3 linked regions of the Pelodiscus sinensis genome follow. The protein of the gene in region 2 purifies or fractionates together with the protein of the main gene of each other region. This does not show direct contact. Links are inferred from orthologs where the notes say so. Each region holds a gene or a part of one and is shown on either strand. Other genes may lie near its edges.

Evidence for each region.
Region 1: the proteins of PRKAG3 (region 2) and PFDN1 purify together in Homo sapiens (affinity purification with mass spectrometry; 3 studies listed by BioGRID and IntAct, counting the BioPlex papers as one, with this or other methods). This does not show direct contact. The link is inferred for Pelodiscus sinensis from reciprocal best matches to the Homo sapiens genes PRKAG3 and PFDN1.
Region 3: the proteins of PRKAG3 (region 2) and PIP4P2 purify together in Homo sapiens (affinity purification with mass spectrometry; 3 studies listed by BioGRID and IntAct, with this or other methods). This does not show direct contact. The link is inferred for Pelodiscus sinensis from reciprocal best matches to the Homo sapiens genes PRKAG3 and PIP4P2.

Annotation. Positions count from the first base shown.
Region 1 is NC_134727.1:2,154,156-2,162,094, forward strand, and holds the start of PFDN1 (prefoldin subunit 1), read left to right. Parts: upstream 1-4,643; 5' UTR 4,644-4,736; coding exon 4,737-4,769; intron 4,770-5,681; coding exon 5,682-5,848; intron 5,849-7,939. UniProt on the Homo sapiens protein: Binds specifically to cytosolic chaperonin (c-CPN) and transfers target proteins to it. Binds to nascent polypeptide chain and promotes folding in an environment in which there are many competing pathways for nonnative proteins.
Region 2 is NC_134717.1:773,833-781,065, reverse strand, and holds the start of PRKAG3 (5'-AMP-activated protein kinase subunit gamma-3), read left to right. Parts: upstream 1-4,153; 5' UTR 4,154-4,757; coding exon 4,758-4,790; intron 4,791-7,233. UniProt on the Homo sapiens protein: AMP/ATP-binding subunit of AMP-activated protein kinase (AMPK), an energy sensor protein kinase that plays a key role in regulating cellular energy metabolism.
Region 3 is NC_134712.1:42,802,122-42,810,381, reverse strand, and holds the start of PIP4P2 (type 2 phosphatidylinositol 4,5-bisphosphate 4-phosphatase), read right to left. Parts: upstream 3,077-8,260; 5' UTR 2,934-3,076; coding exon 2,828-2,933; intron 1-2,827. UniProt on the Homo sapiens protein: Catalyzes the hydrolysis of phosphatidylinositol-4,5-bisphosphate (PtdIns-4,5-P2) to phosphatidylinositol-4-phosphate (PtdIns-4-P).

The sequences.
Region 1 (7,939 bases), on a different chromosome or scaffold from region 2:
TGTGCATTGTAGCAGAGGGACAGGCAGCTGAAGCTGGTGGGGACTCGAGCCACAGGGGTCAGCATCTTAGAAAGCTGGGGCGGAGATTGGGGAGGTCAGAGGTGGGATTGGCAGCTGCGGGTAGACAGCTTACAGCTCACAGCAGTTTACAGGGAGCGTGTGTGCTCGCTTGCAGTGTTTGACGCATGACTATGCGCATTATTCGCTCGTTCATTCTCTCACCTTTCCCAGGTCTCCCTGGGGCCTCTTTCACATTTGCTCATCTCTCCACTTGTGTCACCTGCGTCCTGCTCCAGAGCATTCATCATCTGGATCAACAGCACGAGATGCACCGAGGTGCACAGGGTGCTCCAGGTGTCCCTTCCTGCTGCAGCCGTAACCATGGACCATGGTATGAAATCCTGCCCCTGTTGGATATTTCAGCGCCCGCATCTCAGCATCTACAGATGCGTGGGTCTTTGAGGTGTACAAGGCCTTCTGGGAAAGAAAAGCTGCATCTGCCTTGAGCTCGTTACAGAGATCTCCCTTGGCTGCCAGCACAGGGGTGAGAGAGGTACTAGAGACCAGCTGCTGGCATCTAGCTCACAGTGGCTACGTCTAGACTGGCGTGATTTTCCGGAAATGCTTTTAACGGAAAAGTTTTCTGTTAAAAGCATTTTTGGAACAAAGCATCTAGATTGGCACATCGCCATTTTCACAATCGGGGCTTTTTTGTGGAAAACAAATCTGAGCTGTCTACACTGGCCCTTTTGCACCAAAGTTTCGCGCAAAAGGGACTTTTGCCTGAACGGGAGCAGCATAGTATTTCCGCAAGAAGCACTGATTTCTTACAGCAGGAAGTCAGTGCTTTTGCGGAAATTCAAGTGGCCAGTGTAGACAGCTGGCAAGTTTTTCCGGAAAAGTGGCTGATTTTCTGGAAAAACTGGCCAATCTAGACACAGCCAGTAAGTGTAGTTGATGCCGTGCTAAAAGCACATGATGCCACGTCCACATTAGGGCACTCGCCATCGCTCTCAGCTGCCCTGAAGGCAGAAAGGGGGGAGGACAGAGTCCCATCCAAACCGTAGTGTGGACAGAAGCCCTATGGAATTCATACAGTAGGCCAGGGCTGGCCAACCCACGGCTCGCAAGCTGCATGCGGCTCTTTCCCCCCACTTCAAGTGTGGCTCAGGAAGCCTCCCCCATGGCTCACAAGGCTAACCCTGTGCCCCTAAAAATGGCCCCCGTCCCCTGTTTCTCTGTGCTCACTGCCACCCAGAGTTCTGTTTAAAGGCGCAGTGTCCCCCCCCCTTTTTTTTTGCTCGACAACTTCCCCCCCCTGGCTCTTTGTGCTATATCCCCAACTATTGTGGCTCTTTGCCTTTAATGGGTTGGCTACCCCTACACTAGGCCATGTCTACACAGCACAAATAACCAGATATAAACTAGGCTGTTTTAACCCAGTAATGGCCCAACCTCGTTATGATTTATCCTTCACTGTGTGGCCAGAAAGAAAATATCATAGCCGTGGTATAGGCCACCGTATCTCTCAGGGTGGGAGGATGTGGTATTCTCCCTTATGCGGACAGAAGGGGACATGTTATAATGTGGCTGGACTACATATATATCCAGGAGAGAGCTGGATGTGTTTCTGTGTGTGACTGTAGGCTGGGGTTCCCTGGGATGGTTGGGGCACGGCTCAGCAGCCCTGGGGCTCACTTCTGGTTTATGTCTTACGTTTCCAAAAGCTCTTTTGTAAAGCAAGTCAGGCTCTGCCTGGATGAGGGGCCCCATGTCACAGCAAGGTCTTCTTAATAATCATCAGTCTGCCTCTGTCGTTAGCGATAGTTCTGACTTTGTGCCTTAGTTACCCATTTTCCTCTGGCCATAGGGATCTCCTCACTCTCACTAATGGGTGCGGAGACAAACAGCCCACACCCGCATGCCATCCTGCGCCGTGTCTGCCACACGGCTTTAGATCACCCAAATCAATACCAAATGCTCCCACTACGGCATGTGAAAGGGCGGTTTGCTTAAACCAACACAGCAAATCCAGCGCCAGCATTCTGGCTAGGAGGAATAACTCACTTCCTTGCTCTGCACATTTTTCTAGAGGTGACCTCACCTGGTCACCATTAGCAAAAAGGAATTTGGTTGCTAACAACAGTCACACAAAGCCGCTCCAGTCCTCAGCCCAGGAGCCTATTTTGCGAGCTTTTTGCATTGCACACCCCCTTTCGGGAATTCAAACTGAGAGTCAGCCTGAGGGTTGTGTCATTCTAGGATCCCTGTGTTTGGTTCTGCTCAGCATGTGACTCCCCCTAAGCTGGAAGAGAGCAACCCTTTCACAACGCATTCGCTTGTGCTCCAGTGCTCATCCCACGCACTGCAGCAGCCCTGCTGAATGAGACATGCTTTGGATCAGCACTGGGCCACCCTGGAGCTCGTGGATTGAAGGGGACAGTTCCTGGGACTCCTCGCTCTGATGTACGGGGCAGGCTTTTCAGTTCTTTAAAATCCCACTTGTATGCACCTGTCCTGCTAGTGCAAGGTGCTGGGCTGAGAACCCTGCACGGGACTGGAACAGTGGGCAGCCGAAGGCAGCTCGCCAGCCCTGCCATGCCAATGAACCCGGACTCTGACCTGGGAGGGCTCCGTTAGGTAGCGTTCCTATGACTCTTTCAGTCCTTGGCTCTCTGCTGAGGTTCCAATAAGACTGGCTATTTGTCCCTACTGTAGCTATGGTTTCTGTGATGAGGACACTTGTCCACAGGATGCAGGATTGAGACCTCCCTATTTCTTCAAATTAAGAAGCAGTTGGAGGCTGCCTGCAACGGAGGGGCAGAAATCCTTTCAATGAAATTGGAAAGCAACACATTTTAAATGGACAAAGGGAAATGCATTTTAATATAATGTCTCCTTAAACGGCTGTATATAGTTAGGTACGTTTCCAAAAAGGCTGGGAGAGGCTTTGTAAAAAGAACAACCCTTTCTATGAATGTCTGCAATGACAGTAAATTAGAGGAGCTGCCAATCCTCATGTTTCAGGCTGTAAGCTCATCACTGCCTGCTCAGGAATGAATTTTGCTTGGTGGTGTAGTATTGCACAAATGGATTACAGGGCGTTTATATCTTCTCTTGCATGGGGTATAAGAACCTGGGTGGTCAGGCACTGGCCAATGTTTCCATTAAAACCAACAGAAGCCACAGGTTCTTAGCACTTCTCAAGATTAGCCCTATGATGCTTTACGGCTGTGTCTAGACTGGCCAGTTTTTCCAGAAAATCAGCCGCTTTTCCGGAAAAACTTGCCAGCTGTCTACACTGGCCGCTTGAATTTCCGCAAAAGCACTGACTTCCTACTGTAAGAAATTAGTGCTTTTTGCGGAAATACTATGCTGCTCCCGCTTGGGCAAAAGTCTCTTTTGCGCAAAACTTTTCCAGTGTAGACAGCTCAGATTTGTTTTCCGCAAAAAAGCCCCGATCGCGAAAATGGCGATTGGGGCTTTTTTGCGGAAAAGCGCGTCTAGATTGGCCACGGACGCTCTTCCGCAAAAAGTGGTTTTGCGGAAAAGCGTCCATGCCAATCTAGACGCTCTTTTCCGAAAATGCTTTTAACGGAAAACTTTTCCGTTAAAAGCATTTCCGGAAAATCATGCCAGTCTAGACATAGCCTACATGTTTAAAGCACTGCACCCACATCAACAAATTAATCTGATCTAACATTACAAACCGTTCCAATTAAATCCTACTTTCCACATTGCATTTGATCACTACAAGTGCTGTGGGATTTTATGCTTCCTCGCTTGAGGCTCAGACTCTGGGAAACAAAACGGCTCCATAACTTTAATTCCAATGCGAATTAAAACCCACAACAGTCACTAGTGAACTGATCTGAATCCTGGTGGACAATGCTCTCTCAATAACAGCTTCTCCTTTCCCTTTGATTCACCCTCCCGTCATTCCTTGTGAAATCTTCCAGTGTAATTACACCAGGCCCTACCCTCACTGACGTCAATGGCATGCTCCTGTTGACTTTCACGGGAACCGGAATAATTCCTGGGATGCCCAGCTCCTCAGGCAAGGACTTTATCTTCATATTGGCTGATAAAATGCCAAACACACCTGTTATGTAATAATGCTAATTAATAACTACATGTACAGTCACGTGATACTGTTTCTGGTCCCTGGTTGGCAACCTATAATTACAGGCTACATGTCCACCTATATAGTGTGATGAGCTATCCATTATGTTTATGTGGCCTCTTGATCGATTTGCAACAGTGCAGACTTCCAGCCACTACAATTCTGCAGTGGCCTGGGCTGGTATGTACTGGCACCACTTTCTATGGGATGGAGTTAGAGCTGCTCCACTGTGTGTCAAAAGCCCCATATTGCAGATTCTAATGGTGATTCTCCGTTAGCTCCAATGGCCTGAAGTGGATCTGGGTGGTATCCCTGCTGCAGTGCAATGGGGGGGGGGGGGGGGTTGTCTTGCTGGTAGGGTTGACAACCCTCCTGGATTGCCTTGGAGTCTACATGGTTGTGTGCAAGGCCGCCCCTTGGGGGGATGCAAAGCTTCTGTGTGCAAGGCTGCCCCTGGGGTGGTGCAAGGCTGCCCCTCCCCCTCCCCCTTCCGCTCCCGGGTTGCTGGTCACAGCACGTGCTGCTGGGTGCTGAGCCAGCCGCTCTTGTTGCTGCGCACGCGCACTGGAGCAATTCCCGCTCCGTTGAATGCGCGTGCGCAGAGTGCGGCAACATGGCGGCGCCCGTGGACCTGGAGCTGAAGAAGGTACCGGCCGGGCCCGCCTGGGGCGCTGGGGGCGGCGCTCGGGGGCTGCAGCCGGAGGCCCCGGGGCCGCCCTTGCTGGGTGTCCCGAGCCTGGCCCGGGCAAACAGCGGGGCCCTGCCCCTCCCCCCGCCCGCGGCCCGGCCCGAGTCTCTCGGGGGGGCCCTGGCCCGTGTCGCTGGGGGGGCCTGGCCCGTGTCGCGGGGGGGGGCCCTGGCCCTGGCCCGTGTCGCGGGAGGGGGGGCCTGGCCCGTGTCGCTGGGGGGGGACCCTGGCCCTGGCCCGTGTCGCTGGGGGGGGCCCTGGCCCTGGCCCGTGTCGCGGGAGGGGGGGCCTGGCCCGTGTCGCTGGGGGGGGACCCTGGCCCTGGCCCGTGTCGCTGGGGGGGGGCCCTGGCCCTGGCCCGTGTCGCTGGGGGGGGGCCCTGGCCCTGGCCCGTGTCGCTGGGGGGGGGGCCCTGGCCCTGGCCCGTGTCGCTGGGGGGGGCCCTGGCCCTGGCCCGTGTCGCTGGGGGGGGCCCTGGCCCTGGCCCGTGTCGCTGGGGGGGGGGCCCTGGCCCTGGCCCGTGTCGCTGGGGGGGGGGCCCTGGCCCTGGCCCGTGTCGCTGGGGGGGGCCCTGGCCCTGGCCCTGGCCCGTGTCGCGGGAGGGGGGGCCTGGCCCTGGCCCTGGCCCGTGTCGCGGGAGGGGGGGCCTGGCCCTGGCCCGTGTCGCGGGGGGGGGCCCTGGCCCTGGCCCGTGTCGCTGGGGGGGGCCCTGGCCCTGGCCCTGGCCTTGGCCCATATCTCTGGGGGCCCTTCCCTTGCAAGCCCCTGCTGCTCCAAACGGAAACAGCAGCCCAACGTGCTATGGCCATAGTGCTCGAGAGCATCCTTTCCCAAGCCGTAACGGGCCCTCTCTCCCCCCCCCCCCATTAGGCTTTTACTGAACTGCAGGCCAAAGTTATCGACACGCAGCAAAAGGTGAAGCTGGCAGATATACAAATTGAACAACTCAACAGGACAAAAAAGCACGCACACCTCACGGATGCGGAGATTATGACTCTGGTGGATGAGACTCGCATGTATGAAGGTGTAGGGAGAATGTGAGTAATTTTTACTGATGGAGAAGGTTACGGCTACACTCTGCCCCATTGCCAATAAAACCTGCTGTAATTAATTGCATGTAGATTATGCCACTTTGAGAGATTTCTTTCTACAGTCAATGAAGCAATACCAGGTTTGTAAATATTAGATGCCTTCTGTATTACATCTTACCTGCTATACCTCTACTCTTCTTTTTCAAAACATACCTTCTTTGTATGAGAATGGGAAACTGTCGTATCCAGAGGTGGCAGTTAGAATAGTGGTGATCCTGCACAGGGGAAATTCACTCTTGGCCATCTGCAGGGCTTTTCTATCTCCTGTAAGTTGTTGAATACAGGGACAGAGGCTCTCTCATTGTCACTTATTTGTTTGAAAAGCATTCTGGCTTTTTTGTATCATACTGTGTTTGTTTAGGTGTCATCTTATCCCATTTTTAATTATCATTTCAATGGATCTTCGGTAAGTGAGACTTTAGTAATGGAGATTGCCTGTCTCCTAGAACTGGAAGGGACCTTGCAAGGTCATCGAGTCCAGTCCCCTGCCTTCACAGCAGGACCAAGTACCATCCCTGATGAATTTTTGTCCCAAATCCCTAAATGGCCTTTGCAAGGATTGAACTCACAACTCTGGGTTTAGCAGGCCAATGCTCAAACCACTGAGCTATCCCTCCCCCCTTACTGCACTGTGTTTCTCAGGATCAACCTTATAGGTACAATGTTTGCTACCTACCAGTTTTCAGACACAATTTATTTCAGTGAGTGATTACATATTTTTGTTTGTTGGTTTTTCTCATGTGAACTATAATCACATTTGGGACTTCATGAAAGTTTATCGATTCCACCAGCAGAGTTTGTATTCCTCATGAATGCTGATGACAAAATGTAGATTTGCAAGAAGTTATAATTAGCCTGTTCAACTTTATGCCTCATGAAATATGTATTTGTCCCTAAAAATTGTGGGTCTCCTAATTTAATGCACTCGTTCAGGGGCTGTGGTTGTACAAAGGAACTAAAATGGTGACTTCTTTAAGTTCTGTGAAAGGTGTTCTCTGGACTCTTTAGAGACCCAGGTGTAGTGAAATTGATACCAAAGAATTGTTTGTTCAGGTGCACTCTGGCATATATTAATTTTAAAACAATACTAGTAAAGAAGGAAAATGTAATCTTTGCACATAGGTTTCTTTTGAAGACAGTCCAATCTTAAACTAAAGCTACTATCGGGGTAGCCGAGTTAGTCTGTACAGAAAAAACAACAAATAGTCTGGTATAACTTTTATAAAGTGCTACCAGACAATTTGTTGTTTTTAAAGCTACTCTGTATTTTGATGTCTCGGGTCTGGCACATCAAAATTTGATGGAATGCTAATGATGCTTTCCTATTGTGATTACGATACCCTCTTGTAAAAGGCTACATGAACTAGTCTTTAAGTTAATAGCACATTCTTAATGGATAAGTGTTTGTGCTTAATGCTCTGAAAATTAAAGACAGACCAAGGTTTGGGAGTACTAAGGTTTTTCTTTCTGGTATTGTATCATAGTATCGACAAATTGCCACTTGAAGGGGTGTTCTGTGTCTCTCTTCTAGGGGTCCAGTATACTGTATGTACTGTCTCTTTGTGTCCTGTAAACTGCGAGTAAGCACATTATTCATGCCGCTGAATTGAATTTTGTGGTGTTATATGGAGGTCGTATTGACAGGCACCTTCAAAGGAAATTAATTTCAATCCCTTCCAATGAGGCAGAGAAGTGAATGATGCAGCCTGTAGGCAGATCAAAGTCATAGAGTTTAAGGCCAGAACAGACTACCAGATCCATCTAGTCTGTCCTCCTGTATGTCATAAGTCACTAACCCATCTAGCAGGCAAAAACTACATGCAACAATCAAAACTAGACCAAAATATTACAGCCACAGAAGAGTAATAGGCCGCAGGCAGAAATAGGAAAAAGTGAGGCGCACCAATGTCAGAATCCCCTGCATTGCAAGGAATTAAGTGAGATATACTTGGATAATCCTGGCATGTGATCTGCAGGAGAAGACAAATCCCCACCCTGGTTACCTCACTCATGATGATCAATTAGACCAGGGCTACT
Region 2 (7,233 bases):
GTGCCCCGGCCCGCCAGGGAGGTCCCTTGGGCTTAGGAAGCAGGCGCTGTCGGTGCAGGGAGCCGGCTCGGCTTGGATCTTGTCTCCTGCCATGAGTGGCGCAGACGGTCTCTTGCCGCTGTTCCCTGCTCAGCCTCGTGCCTCGGCGTGGCTGGCGCGAGAGCCTGGCGGCCCTGGCCTGCGTTCGAGTGCCCCGCGGGGCCGCCTTCGCTCGGGCACCAGGGCTGCAGCTGCCCAGGGCCCCGCCGGGAGGCGCCACCTTCTCGCCAGAGCTTTTTAGCTGCCTTTTCCAAGGAGCTGGATTAAAGTTTCACACCCTCTGCTGCTCTCGCTGCGCTGTGTGGCTCCTGCGCTCGGCCCGGGGCAGCGGCTCCTGCTCCTTTCCCCGGCTCAGCCGAGGGGCGCACGGGGGGAGCCTGCCCCACGCCCCTTTGCTCCCCGTCTTCCCGCACTCCCTGCCAGGAGGCGCCTGCTGGAGCTGGGCCCGAGCAGCCCTGTTCCCGCGATGAGGCAGGGCGGGGGCAGCTCTGTGCAGGGAGCCGGCCCAGGGCTGGGTGTCTGCATTTACCTGACAGCAGGACAGGCCCCTCTGTGCTTTCCGGTGCAGCCTTGGCTGGGCTGTGGGGCTGGGAGGGGAGGTGCAGCCCTTGGTGGCTGTGACCCCATGGCGGAAAGGACTTAACCCTTTGCTCCCCCGAGCTTGGCCTATCCCAGCTCCCCAAGGGCAGCATCTGTCCCAGCGGCTGCCTGGACGTGGTACAGATACCGGGTGGCCCCTGCAGAGCTGTGCGCCCCAGGCCTGACAGCTGTTGGGTGCCAGCAGGGAGCAGGTGGAGGGAGGAGGCAGCCTCTGCTGTGCTGTGAGCCCAGGCCCCCGGGCGGGCTCGGCTGGGGACGCCTTAAGCGCTGTGTACTCGAGCCGTGTCGCTGGCCCCTAGCGCCCACCCCAGCCCATTGGCCCTACGTGCGGTGGGCACCACCCCCAGCTGGCCCTGCCCCCCTCACTCTCCAGCACAAGGGCCCCCTCTCCCTGCCCAGGCCTACTAATGAAACTGCCTGGCCTGTGTGTTCCCCTCGACTCTGCCCAGGGGAGGGGAGGGGCAACCCCTTCCTGGTGCTCACCACCCACACCGTGCCACTCGGCTTACCCTGCCTGGCAGGAGAGGGCCACTGCTCTTGTTGCTCTGCAGGCCCCTGGGATCTCAGCAGGTGGGGCCTGGCACAGGGCGTGTACAGCCCCTGCTGCAGCCAGCAGTGTTCACTGGTGGAACTCCCTGCTGAGGGCAGTGTGAAGGCTGGAGGTCCTGCAAGGGCTGGACTCTGGGGGGGCCAGAAGCTGGGGCCACAGGGTAGGAGGGGTTAATCTCGTTCCCTCCCAGGCACCTGCCCTTGGCTGCTGATGGAGCCAGGGCTCTGGGTGAGCTGGCCCCCTGCTCTGACCTGCGGGGGCTCCTCCTACGCCCCCTGCAAGTGAGGGACCTGAATCTGAAATCTGGAAAAACTCTTTGTTCCAACGGCAGCGGGATCCGCCCGCCCAGCCTGGGGCCAGTGGAGTTCTCTGCAGCTGTGGCAGTGAGTCCCCTTGGCAGCAGCCGGGGGCCGCGGGTGGGCCCTTTGGCACCAGCCTGGCCCCCTTAGCTCCCCCCTGCTCCACGCGCTGTCCATACTGGCCTTGGAGCTCCCCTTAGCCCCCGGCCTGCCTGCGGGAGCCCCAGGCTGGCTGCTGGGTGAAAGCCGGGGGGGTCCTTTGCCCCCCAGGCATTGCCATGTTGAACTCTCCCATCCCAGCAGGGGGGGGCACGGTGCTGCCAGCGGAGCAGCCCCTGGGTAGTGCCCTCTGGCAGGTCCCAAAGCTGCTGGAAATCCCCTGTGCCCCCAGGCAGCGCTTTTCCCGCTTGGCTCCGGGCCCTGTTTGTGCGGGGAGCCGTGGGCAGGGCCCAGGAGCCCAGTGAGGCCCCCGCACCGCGTCTGGGTCACTGCCATGGGAGAATGAGGGCGCCCGCAGCCTTCTGGCGCCAGCTCTAGAGCCTCCTACACTGCGGCTACGTCTGCACTGGCCCCCTTCTCCGGAAATGCTTAAAACGGAAGTTTTCCATTAGAAGTATTTCCGGAAAAAGCGCGTCTACGTTGGCAGGATGCCTTTCTGGAAGCACTTTCCCGGAAGAGCGTCCGTGCCCATGGAGCCGCGCTTTTCCGCAAAAAATCCCCAATCGTCATTTTCGCCATCGGGGCTTTTTTGCGGAAAACAGTCCTGTGCTGTCTACACTGGCCCTTTTCTGGACCAGTTTTCCGGAAAAGGACTTTTGCCCGACAGGGAGCAGCAGAGTTTTTCCGGAAAAGCCCTGCCGATTTTACAGGAGATGGCCAGTGCTTTTGTGGCAATTCAAGGGGCCAGTGTAGACACAGCCTAAGGGGCTAGAGGTCCCAGGTTCAAATCCCCCCCGGGCAGTTACATCAGCATCCCGGCTGGGTGCAGGTGGCACCGCACCCCTAGCAATGCAGCCCCGACCTGGCCTCTGCTGCCTTAGAGCCCTGCCCGCCCCCCATGGGAGCCCTCCCCTGCCAGCGGAGCGGGGCTCCTGGGCCAGGCTTGCTGCAAATGTAGAGCTGCGGTTGCACCAAGGCTCCATGTGCCCTGCTGCTGCAGAGCGGGGTGAACCTGTGGGGGGGGGGGGTGTAATATGTGGGTGCAGCTCCCTTGGCAGTCCCATCCCCTGTGTTCCCCTCTGCTCCCCTTTCCCGGCCGGGGCCCCGCCAAACCCCAATCCGCCCTTGGGCCCAGCAGCCAAAGGGGTTTAGCCCGATCTCCTCTCCCCCCCCCCCCCCCATCTGGAACAGGAGCCAGGTGGCCTGGGCCCTACCCACTAGCCCTCACTGCCTCCTGACGCTAGAAGGAGGTGCCCCGCCCCCCACCAGCTGCTCCCTGCACGCGGGCAGCAGCTAGGGCGCGTCGCTGGGGTAGAGGCGCGTGTAGCCGGGAGCGGCCGCGCCCTGCGGTCCCTGCCCCGGGACACTCGCCCGGTTTGCAGCCTTGGGGCCGGGCCTCCCCGCCAGCCCAGGCGCAGACACGGCGGCCTCCGGCCCGCCACGTTCAGGGTGTTTGGAGCCTTCCAAAAATAGCCGGCGCGCCTCGCCAAGCGAGCCCGGGGGGAGGCGAAGAGCCGAAACCGGGAGGGAAGGTTCCCTGCAGGAGCGAGGCGGGCGCGTCTCTCGGGCACACGAGCTGGGGAACGCGGGCCCCGGGCCCCTCCCCCGGTTGCACCCGCACCCCTGTCCCCTGCGAGCCGGGCGCTTGGAGAGCCCCAGGCGCCGCCCCGCTGAGCGCAGAGCGCACAGAGCAGCGGTTCCGCACAAAGGTAGAAACAGAGCCCTGCCCGCAGCCCTGCGCTTCCCCTCTCCCCTCCCGGGGCCGGGCCGGGCGCCCCGCTGCGCTGAGCAGCAGGGCGGCCGGGCGGAGCTGGAAGATCTCGATCCGCCCAGGCTCGAGCCCTGGGGCGACGGGGGCCGTGCTGGGAGCCGGGCCGGGCGCTCTGGCCAGGGATGTGCCGGTCCGGGAGGGGGTAATCGCGCCGGGCCCAGCGCTCCCTGCAGCCGGCCCGTGCGGGGCGCCCTAGCAGGTGTCGGGCTGTGCGGGGGGAGGCTGGGTTCCCTGTTAGGAGCGTGAGTCACGCCTGCGGCATCCCCAGCGGCAGTGCGTGAGGGGAGCGGGGCCGGCCGGGGCCAGGCAGCCATGCTCAGTGGGCGGCCGCTGGGAGCCAGGCGTGCGGCACGGCGGGAGCGTGGCACCGGGCGCCAGGGCAGCGGCCCTGCGGGTCCGGCCTGACCTTCCCCCCCACCCCGGGAAGCTGGTCTCTCCCGAGCAACACTACGATAACAACCCAGCTCACGGCCCCCCACAATAACAACCCGGCACCCCCTGCGACCCTACAATAACAACCCAGCTCATATGGCCCCCACAACAACCCTGCACCCCCTGCGACCCTACAATAACAACCCGGCACCCCCCGCGACCCTACAATAACAACCCAGCTCATATGGCCTCAACAATAACCCAGCACCCCCCCCCGCGACCCTACAATAACAACCCAGCACCCCCTGCGACCGTACAATAACAACTCAGCTCACGTGGCCCCCCCCACCATAACAACCCAGCACCCCCCTGCGACCCTATAACTACTCCCCTCCCCACAACCACAGCCCAGCACACACCCCCCCGCCTCCATCTATCCCCAGACCCACGTGCGCTGCCTGACCCATTGGGCCCCACAGAGGAGCGGGACAGGGTGTATCTGCCACTGGACCCACCGCCCTTGGGGCGAGACCCCTTCGCGCTCCCCCAGCCCGTGCCAGGCCGGGGAAAGCCGGGGCGCGAAGAGCGAGCGTGCGGGGGAAGCGGCAGCCGCAGTCCCGGTGCGGGACCAGCTGTGCTGGAGGCGCGCCCCTTCCCGGCCCTTGGCCCCGTCCGTCCGCCCGCGGGCCCAGCGCCAGCCCCGTGCGTCCCCAGCCCGCCCCGTTCCCGGCGGCCGCTCCCGCGCCTGGGCCAGGGGCCGGTCTCTATTTCAGGCGGCTCCCCGTGCCCGTCAGCTCCGGAGCGGGGCCGCCCCGACAGGTGCCCGCGCCCGGCCGGCTCCAGAGAGTCTCCGCCGAGCGCCGGGCAGGCTGCTCCCGTCCCAGCTGTGCGGGCGCCAGCCTGGCACCAGTCGCGGGGCCGGGCCGAGGCAGGCCCAGAATAGCAGCGCGGCGCGGCGCGGGGCGGCATGGAGCAGCGCCCAGCCCCGGCGGGGCCGCAGGTAGGGAGCGAGCCGGGGGGCCGGTGCAGAGCTCGGCAGGGGGCTGCCTGGGGCCCTGCCGCCGCCGCGGGGCGAGCACGGGCCGCTCCCTGTCCCAAACTGCGCCCCCCGCCCGCTCTGCGGGGCCGGCTGCCAGCCCGTCTCGGCTCCGTTCCGCCGCCCTGGGACGAAAGCGCAGCCGGCAGGAACCTGACCCCGCCTGCGCCCTGCCGGGGCGCGCCGGGCGCCGTGTTATTGTAGGGTTGTCCGGCCGCGGCGCGCTGCGCGGGGGCCTGAGCTGGGGGGGAGGGGGCAGGCTGGTTTGGGATCGCAGGGTGGCCAGCAGGAGCGGGCTGCCAGGCTGCTTTGTTATTGTAGAATAGTGATAGAAATGGAGCCGGGTTAGTCTGGGGGAGCTGAAGCAAAATGCAGGACAATGTAGCACTTTACAGACTAACAAGATGGTTTATTAGATGATGAGCTTTCGTGGGCCAGACCCACTTCCTCAGTCTTCCACTATTTGATCTGAGGAAGTGGGTCTGGCCCACGAAAGCTCATCATCTAATAAACCATCTTGTTAGTCTTTAAAGTGCTACATTGTCCTGCATTTTGCTTCAAGTCATTTAGAGAGTGTCCTTTCTGGTTAAAGTGGCAAGAAACTGTTTTCTCTTTGTGATCTTGTCTGATATCTGTTTTGTGGGCATTAATCCTTTGGCGAAGTGTCTGAGATGTTTATCCAATGTACATAGCAGACGGACACTTTCGGCACATGATAGCATAGATTATATTTCTGGATGCGCAGGAATATGTGTTCTTGATCTTATAACTCACTTGGTTGGGTCCAATAATGGTATCGGCAGAATGAATATGTGGACAAAGCTGGCAACGGGGTTTGTTGCAAGGGAAGGTACCAGGCTTGGTATTAGTGTGGTATGTCCTGTGGTGGTTGGTAAGAATCATCTTGAGGTTAGGTGGTTGTCTATAGGAGACTATGGGTCTGTCTCCCAGAGCCTCTTTGAGTATGGTATCCTGTTCCAATACAGGCTGTAGTTTATTGATAATGTGTTGGACAGGTTTAAGTTGGGAGCTGTAGGTGATGACAAGTGGTGTTCTATTGTTGGTTTTCTTGGGTCTGTCTTGAAGTAGATGGTTTCTAGGTATTTGTCTGGCTCTTTCAATTTGCTTTTTTATTTCTCCGGGTGGGTAGTTGAGGTTTATAAATGCTTGGTAGAGATCCTGAAGCTTCTGGTCTCTGTCAGTGGGATTAGAGCAGATGCGGTTGTCTCTGTCAGTGGGATGTTGGTATATAGAGCTTCTACATCCATGGTGGCAAGGATGGTATTATTGGGGAGGTTATCGATGTTTTGTAGTTTCCTTAGGAAGTCAGTAGTGTCACCATGGATGTAGAAGCTCTATATACCAACATCCCACATGAAGACGGATTACAAGCAATTAGAAACACTATCCCAGAGGACACCACTGCCAACCTGATAGCAGACCTGTGTAACTTTGTTCTCACCCACAATTATTTCCAGTTTGAGAACAACTTATACCTCCAGATCAGCGGCACAGCCATGGGTACACGCATGGCCCCACAGTATGCTAACATCTTTATGGCTGACCTAGAACAACGTTTCCTCAACTCCCGTCCCCTTTCACCCCTCCTCTACCTACGGTACATCGATGACATCTTTATGATCTGGACGCATGGCCAAGAAACACTGGAGATATTCCACAGAGATTTCAACAACCTACACCCCACCATCAACCTCAGCCTGGACCATTCTACACGAGAGATCCACTTCCTGGACACCACCGTACAAATCAACAATGGAAAATTAGACACCACTCTCTACAGAAAACCCACCGACTCATACAGTTACCTACATGCTTCCAGCTCCCATCCAGAACACACCACACGATCCATCGTCTATAGCCAAGCCCTTCGATACAACCGCATCCGGTGGAATAGAGGAAGTTTATTGCCTCTCCAGGATACAGCACAGCACAGATGGAATCTGGTCACAGAGCTGGGCTAGGATGCCTCAGGCCCCCTTGAGATGGGGGAGACTGGGCCCCTAAACTCCAGCCCCTTTTCCTAGGCTGTCTCCTCCATGCTCACAGACAGCAACTAACCTCACCCTCTTCCAGCCCTGCCCCCCAGCCAGGGCAGCATCCACCTTCCTTTGTTCCTCTCCATGGGGGGTGTCTGGTTCAACAAGTTTGGCATTACCTTTGCATAGTGAGGTTTTCCTTGCTGGGTCTTGCTCCAGACAGCAGAGGTCACCACAGCCCAGCAAGCACCCCCACTACGTCACAGATGGGACGTCCGGGGTGCCCAGGTTTATGGATCTTGGGAAGCAGATAGAACAATCCTGGTCGGGGGTCAGGTGTTTCTGTGTGGATTTGTTCCCGAGTAGCTGTGGGGAGGCTTGTAAGGAGACAGTGTAGTTTCTTTTGGTAT
Region 3 (8,260 bases), on a different chromosome or scaffold from region 2:
GGAATCTACAACAACTTAGCCTGTTATATATTTTGAAGAGTTTGTTTGTGGATTTGTTTGTGCAAAATAAAGTCATACTTCCTGATTACCTACAGACACCAAATTTTGCATAAACAATCCTGCCACTTAAATTAGCTGAATGCACTACTGTTTATACCAGAATATGCTTGGTGAAAGGTTTAAATAATTTTTTTTAATTGGAAAAAAGTCATGACTATTCTGATTAGAGTTAATAAAATATGTGCAAACAAAATTAAAATCAAGTAACCTATTCCACTGTCATTTTAGTGCAAAACATTTTTACTGTTACAAATCACAAAATAATTCAAATTAGTTACAGAAAGAGTAATGGAAGCTTAGCGAGTTCCTGATTCAAATTTACAATGTATGGTAATTATTCAATAAAATGAATAATGTTTGAAATTGAAATCCTACAAATTTAAAACTGTTCTTTTACTTCCCTTTTGCAAGCACATTAATAAAAAATTCTATTCTATTGAATTTCTTGAACTTTCCTATAAGTGTAATCTATGCAAAATGACTCTGCCTGGTCAAGGACGGGTCTCATCTGCTAGTATACTGTAAACAAGCACATTTTCACTAATCCTTTATTTTATTTTGCTAGTATGGCTTATGTGCTCTAATGTGTAGGTGACTTTTACAGACCATCTGTCATACATATTTAGCCCAATAAAATGCTTAAGGACCCTATTAACACATGGATTCTGCATCTTTTCTGTGGGATGAGTATTTACAAATTTTCACTATGGCACGCCGGGCTCCTTGCCCCACCGGGCAGCCCTGCTACGCTCCTGGCCCCTTGCCCACCCCGCTATGCTCCTGGTCCTGCCAGGGACCCCTGCTGTGGTGTGCTAGTCTGGCCCCACCAGGCAGCCCCACTGGGTTGTTGCCTGGCTGCTCAGATGCAGCACACTGGGCAGCCCAGCTGCAGGGAGCCCAGCCACCAGCCCTCCACCAGGACTTGTTGGTCCTACATCCATGGTCCTGCCAGATGATGGATGTTACTGGAACAGGGAATCCCCGATTACACATGTTCAACCTGTACATATGAGAATTCAAAATGTCTGAAAACCAATATACTCTAAAGCTAAGGAGGCTATAAATATAAGAAGTGAAGGAAACCCTGCATAATTAGATCCCACAGAAAAAATATCCAATCTTCATAACCTCTGTTTTGAGGCCTGTGTTACTAAATTGTGTAATTAAAAATGCCAGATCATGGTTAATGTTAACCAAGAGCATAGCAGTGCTACATTTTCATACCCAGCTCAGATTCTGTGACAATGTAAAGATTATACAAATGTATATATCTGCTCACCTGTAACATTTGTCCACCTTCTTTAGTACTCCTATCTACAGTGTATTCACACATAAATCACTTTCTGGTTTAGATGTATAAATTGTTTAATCTGTACATGAAAACTGGAGATCTTAATTTGTAACAAAACCAGTAAAATCAGAGACCCATATGCTCCTATTAAAACCAGCCAGAGCAGGATTGGAACTTCATATTTTAAAAGCTTCTAATAAAGCTGAACTAATCTTATTTAGTTTAGACAGTCTGAGCTTTTTCTGACATTTAAGAGGTTAAACTACTTTAAAAAAAATCGATACCAATATGTTTTGTAGATCATAGACTCAAATTATTTTTAATTTTAGCCCTAACTTAATGCCATTCCGATCATCACATCTAAATTACTTTCTTCAGTAAAAATTAACCTCCTTTTACTGAACAGACAACCTTTACAACAGGCCAATTTTCACTGAGTTTAATGCCACAGCATTAATCTGGATCCCACATTCACAAGTCAATGATTTATTGTATCAAACTTGCCTTTTTTGCATGTCTTGCAAAGACATGTGTTAGTCGCTTTATTCAATATAGATGCTAGTGTAGAGAGCGCTGCTCTCTATTAGGGATGTAAAATCCTGTGTAATTAGTTAAATAGTTAAACATTAAAAACTGTCATTTATTCCTTTCCTCCTTCAGCCTATTGTTCACTAAACTATATACATTCCTGCTAGTCTCAAGGCCCAACAACGACCCTTCCCCCTCCTCAAGGCAAGCCACTGCAATCAAGAGCGGCTACCAACAATCAGGCACACACAATCAGACGTGATTTCCTCAGAGCCTAAAAATGCCAGCGCTCTTCCCTCTTAACGCAAATCAAGCAAAAGATAAAGGTGCTGTCAGCTCCAAAAGAAGTTTGTTGTGCACACGTTAGTGAAAAGTAACAGTAACCAGCACCAAAAGGCTAATTAAATATGCACTATCCCACCCAGATACTTTACTCAAAGATCAGTATAATTACTGAGAGCTGACCGGGGGGGTACAAGAATGTCTTGCTCGTGGGTTGTACGAACAGGGAACCCCCAATTCGAGGGGGCGGCTTTCCACGCCGGACTAGACAGCCTGCGTGGTTTGCATTGCTTGTTTTTTTGAGCAACAGCTTCTCAAGGACATGGGAACAATGTGTGCACCAAACACATCCTGCCTCTGCCTAGGCCAAGCAGCAGTTTCGGAGCGAGGCGCGTTAGGGTCTGCACGTTGGACTCGCCGCCGCCGCCGGTAACAATGCACCGAAGGCTACTGCTGCTGCGACAAACGCATCGGGCTGCCCTTGCCACGCTGCCCCCCGCCAGGAAAATACCCCGGTCTCCCCGGCACGCCGAGAAAGCCCTGCAGGGCCAGGCCAAGCTGCGGGACCCACCAGCTCTGCAAGATGCGCCTGCCCAGCCAGCCACCTTCTCGCTCTCCCGGCGCAGGTTGGGAAGGGAGGCTGCGGGCCGGGCAGTGGGCACTTACCTTTGGGGCTGCTCTCTGGCAAATAGGGCGGCGCGGTAGGGGTGACATTGCCGGAGCTGGGCGCGGACAGCAGAGGGGAGCGCTCGTCCACCCCGTCAGCAGCCATGACTATGCGGCAGCAGGGCCGGCTGAACCCGGGGAAGAGCCTTTCCTCGCGCGCCCGGCGTGTGAGCGTGTCACAAGGCACTGGAGCGAGGGGGAGGAGGGGAGCGCGGCCAGCAGCGCGAGAAGCGGGGGGAGGGACTGGGACCTGGAAAGTGGGGGGGGGAGCACAAACTGGCCCTCCCTATGTCACAAGCAATAGGGCGGGGATGGGGAAGGACAGAGCTTCCTCTCTCTGCAGCCCCTGCCGGAGTTGGGGGGGGGGGGATAACTCGTGTTGCAGCTGTTTTTGTTTTCCGGGGCAGTTAATGCGGAGAGGTTCGTGTCCAGGCTTTCCTCACGCAAGGAAATGGGATATGAGCAGGAGAGAGAGCACCACCTGTAGTTGCCTGGGGCACAAATGCAGTAGGGAGGGAAGCCCTGGCACGGTGGGGGTATGTACACCCCCATCCACCCTTGCTTACTACATCTGTCCTCTCAGTATAGTGTCAAGAGTCACTGTCTCTTGCATTGGTCCAGTAAAATATAGCACTTTACCCACATTGTTCCTGCAATATTATAAGTCAGATTTTCATTCCAGAATTGTTTGTGGGCACCATTAGCAGGGAGAGATAAAGAGAGGGGATCATTTTGCTTTTTCATCTGCAAGCTATTAATAAAAGGAGGAAATATAACATTTTCTCTCTTTACTTTCTGCTTTTTTTGCTAGTGGTTTGACCTGGTGTGCCTCCCTCTAGCTCAGACACTCTCAAAGTTTTTATATGATACTTTTCATTGGGGTATCTGTACAAAATTACAGACCAGGAAGACCATGGAAAAATCACTTTATTAAAAATAAAATAGATTAAGACATGTCAGATGTGGTAAACAACAAAAAGCAACGGGTGTTTACCCAAGTTGTAGATGGCCTTACTGTTGCAATTTTTTCAATTGCCTCTTTCAAAACCCTGAGGAGGAGGCAGATGTTTCTCCCCTGCAATTGTAAATACTGCTGTGTTTATAAAGATGACAAATCAGTGACTTTTATTGCCGCTTTATTTATGCATAAGGAAATTCATGCACTTTTTGTCATTTGAGTCTACTGCTCATGTGAGGAGGGTTCTCCTAGTGTCAGTGAACTCTCTGAGGACACAAGGCACCACTTAAAACTCTCTTTGCCTGAAATTCCATTAAGGCACCAGCTGGAAATCCCAGCAGAAGAACTTTCCCTATTGTATTTTCACCCTAAATTGCAAAGAGACATATGCTTGTCACACTGTAATCTAGATACATTACCTATAAATTAGAGATTCCCATGCCCTCCTAATGTATGGCATGCAAGTGATAACATAAGTTATCTAGTTATTCTGGATAATGACATGCTGCAGAGCATTAGGCCAATTGCCAAGTGTCATCAACCATCCCAGAAGTGTGGTTATCTAGGACAACTGCACTTCCTGAAATTGTGTTATTGGGAGAACGTTCCTACATTTATGTAAGAACAGGATAATAAGTCCTGATCCTGAACTGTGAAGTTGGATGCAAATACTATGATTTCATTAGTCAGACTCCTTCCCTCTTACTTTTATTTTATAAGATATATTACTTAGAGCTGGGCAAAAACAACAACAACAAACCACAAACCAAACCCGACAGCAAAAAAACAAGCTGAAAGTTTTCCACTAGAAAATGCTGACTCAAGGAAATAGAAACATTTCACAGGATTTTGTCAAAATTGTAGATGGGGAAGTTATCCAAACATTTTCAGTTAGCTAAGGGTGAAATATTTAGTTTCAATAAGGATGACGTGTTTTGAATCGATCATTTTGATTTGTTAATATGATATGATAGCCAACTCTAAAATGTAATTAAACAATCCAGATATAACAAGATATTTCAACCTTATTATTTCAATAAGATCATTTTGACATTTCCGAAATTAATACTTCAGGATGGAAATTTCAACTAATCATTTTGATTCAGGGTGAAAAATAATTTTGAAATACTGACATTTCCTGCAGAATAGAAATTCTAACTTTTGACCATCTGTAAAGGTGCCTTGTGAGGAATAATACATGATAGGGCACCTGGTTGTTTATTGCATATTGGCCAGGAACCAGTCTGAAGGCCAAGTACTTCCCTCATCCAGCAAGTGCTGTCTTGTCATCTCAAGCCCCTGTGCTCTCTGGAAATGCTATAACTGACTTCGCAGGAGGGAAACTTTAAAGCTAAATAATTCTTGCCAGGACTGTTAAAACTCAAAGGCCCAGATCCTGAAAGGCATTTAGATGCCTAATTCCCATTGGTTGGATGCCTAAATACCTTTGAGGATCTGTGCTAATGTGCTGCTTAACCACAACTCTGGTTGGGGTTGTAAGATGTAATAGGTTTTTAGTATTTGTAGTTGAAATGTACCTCCAGCGCAGTTTCCTACCATGGCCTTGTTGGCAAGTACAGAGTTTTTCAACAAATATGCAGGTATATTCTCTGTTGGATTTTTAGTAAAGGACCCAACATTTCCAGCCACACCCCTATTTTTGCTGTACTGTGAAAGATACAATAGCTAGTAGAAAGATGAATAAAAAGAGAAAAAGATAGGCATGATTAAGTTCACCAGTACCCACTGCTCTGCAGTGACAAGAAATTGATTGTGTGAGACCCATCTACTGCATTGTCCCATGCCTCAGAGGAAGACTTACAAACATGAATATCACTGCCAGTTGCCCAAAGGGAAAAGCTATACCACAATTCAGATGTTAATCTGTTGAACCCTGAGCATATGACCAAGAATTATTGTAGTTAAGCATCTCATTAAACTGACCCATACCTGAGAATGATCGGTGTCTAAATAATTATTAGTTAAGTAAATATAAAAGTAACACACAATCACAGCTCCTTTCAATCATAAAGGATTTGCTATGCAAGAACATCCAGAAAAAAAAATGCAGATTAACTGAGAGATGTAAATTTGACATGGTGTAGTTAATCCACATTAAATTTTTGTGTGGACTCTGTAATTCGGAATTAAAATAGCCTTAATTTGGTTTAGGTGACCCCTGATCTATACTACAGAATTAAGTTGAGAAGCATAGAGCTTAAGTCAATGTAGTTAGGTCGACACAGTTCAAGTGCAGACAATGCATTGCATACATTAAATATTACTGCCTTTCAAAGTCTGTCCCATAATGATCCACACTGAGTCTACACTACCATGGGCTGTCGAATTAATTTACGCAACTTCAGCTACATGAATATTGTAGCTGAAGTTGATGTATTTAGACCCACTATGGAATCATCACCATAGTAAATCAACAGCTGACAATCTCTTGTCAACTCCAGCTATGCTTCTCATTCTGATGGAGTACCAGAGTCAACATGATAGCACTCAGCGGTCCATTAGACACGATAAATTGACCCCCCCCCCTCCAATGGATCAATTGCTGCCCATCAATCCAGGAGGTAGTGAAGACGTGCTCCTAGTAAGGATGAACACCACCAACACAGGTGTGGACATATAAAAGCAGTTTAATTACTACATTAGCTGAAAATCAATGTAACATAGATTGACTTAATTTTGTAGTGTAGACTTGTCCTTCATACACTCCGGAAATGAATTAAACTACAGTCAAAATTAAGACTACTTTAATTTTGAATGAGGGTGACAATTACTAGAATTTCTGTACTCTTAAACAACAAATTGGAGTACTAAGCTAATAATTCCCAGCAAATAATTTGTTTGTTGAATTTTTCCTATTTTTCATTATTTTAAATTAATTTTATGGAAGTAACCACAGGTTTACCACAAGTCCATGCGGATTTACACATTTAGATCTCATTCAGGCAATGGGATCTACTGCAATGCACCCCTATGCCCTTATGGTGTTTTCATTGACTCAGGTAATACATAGTTCCAAATGGTGTCCAGCAAGTTGATCCTATACATTATGAAGTATTGAGAGATTATACAGAAACTACATTCTTTTGAATTAACTAAGTTGCAAGGTCAAGCCTCTCAAGAGATAGAGAGTGCCGTATTTAAGGTTCCTACAAATAGATAATTCAGCTCCCTTATGCACATATATTACAGAACACCCTTTAATTATATTACTGTGCTGGGTTTAGTCACAAAGATCCCATTGAGACTGTCACCTTATGCGCTGATTATACCACTAAGTCTGCCTACCTGCCCTCTGGAGCATCCCATCACTCCAACCTGCTGGGCCAGAAATTCTGGTTTCCCCCAGAGTCGGTAATGAGTTGAGATCACAACCCAGAGCAGAGCGACACAGACACTGAAATCACCTCAGCTCTGGGAAGGGTCAAGCAAAGGGACTTGACACAGCAGCCAGGTGCACAGCCTGCGTTGGACCAAAACCCCAGATAAATCCATCTCATCCATTAACTGGTTAACTTTACACATCTCTATGCGTCATATTTCTAACTTCAAATACAGGAATGATACATGCACACAAATAGAATATGCACATTCTGCAGATTATAATGTTAAAATATTTTACATTAATTATTTTACCTAAAGAATATTTGAGTTAGGCATATTCATATTCAAAAGCATCTTTCCATATAGATTATGGGGGTGCGACATAACAATGATCAAATGCTATTTTTTCCACAAGACCCTTACCTCATTCAGTGCACAGGAAGACCTACCCTAGCATCTGAGCTCACAAGTGAGCCCAAGAAAGCAAGAAACAACTTGATGAGGCTACTAGTGAAGGCTGAAACTCCTCCCTGTAAAACTACCAGCTCTGGAAGCTGAGGAAATAGAATGTGGGTCCAGTGGATTCTTAGCATTTGCTATTCCTGAGGTTTCTCTTTTATATATATTGGGTACTGTTTAGGGTTGCCAGGTGTCCGGTATTCTACCAGACAGTCCAGTTTTTGCACCCTCTGTCAGGTAAAAAAAACTGTGCAATGTCCGGTATTTTCTGTTTTTCTGGCTGGGTGCCAGACAGAAACCTGGCGGGGGCAGGAGGAGTGGCTGGGAGGCGGGCCCACAAGCGGCGCTGGGAGCCTGTGGTAGCATGCAAAAGCCTGGCAGGGGCGGGGGGAGTGGCTGGGAATCCCAGCCACTGCCCTCGCCCGCCTTCTGCACACAACCACAGGCTCCCAGCACCGATTGCAGCCCCACTCCCTGTGGTTGTGTGCAGAAGCCAGGCAGGGGGAGTGGCTGGAGTTCCAGCCACTCCTCCCACCCCCACCCGGCTTCTGCACACAACCAGAGGGAGTCCCAGGCTGGGAGGCAGAGCCTCTGGTTGCGTGCAGAAGTCGGGCGGGGAGAGTGACTGGGAGGTGAGGCACAGTTGGCGCTGGGAGCCCAAAGCTGATTGCGTC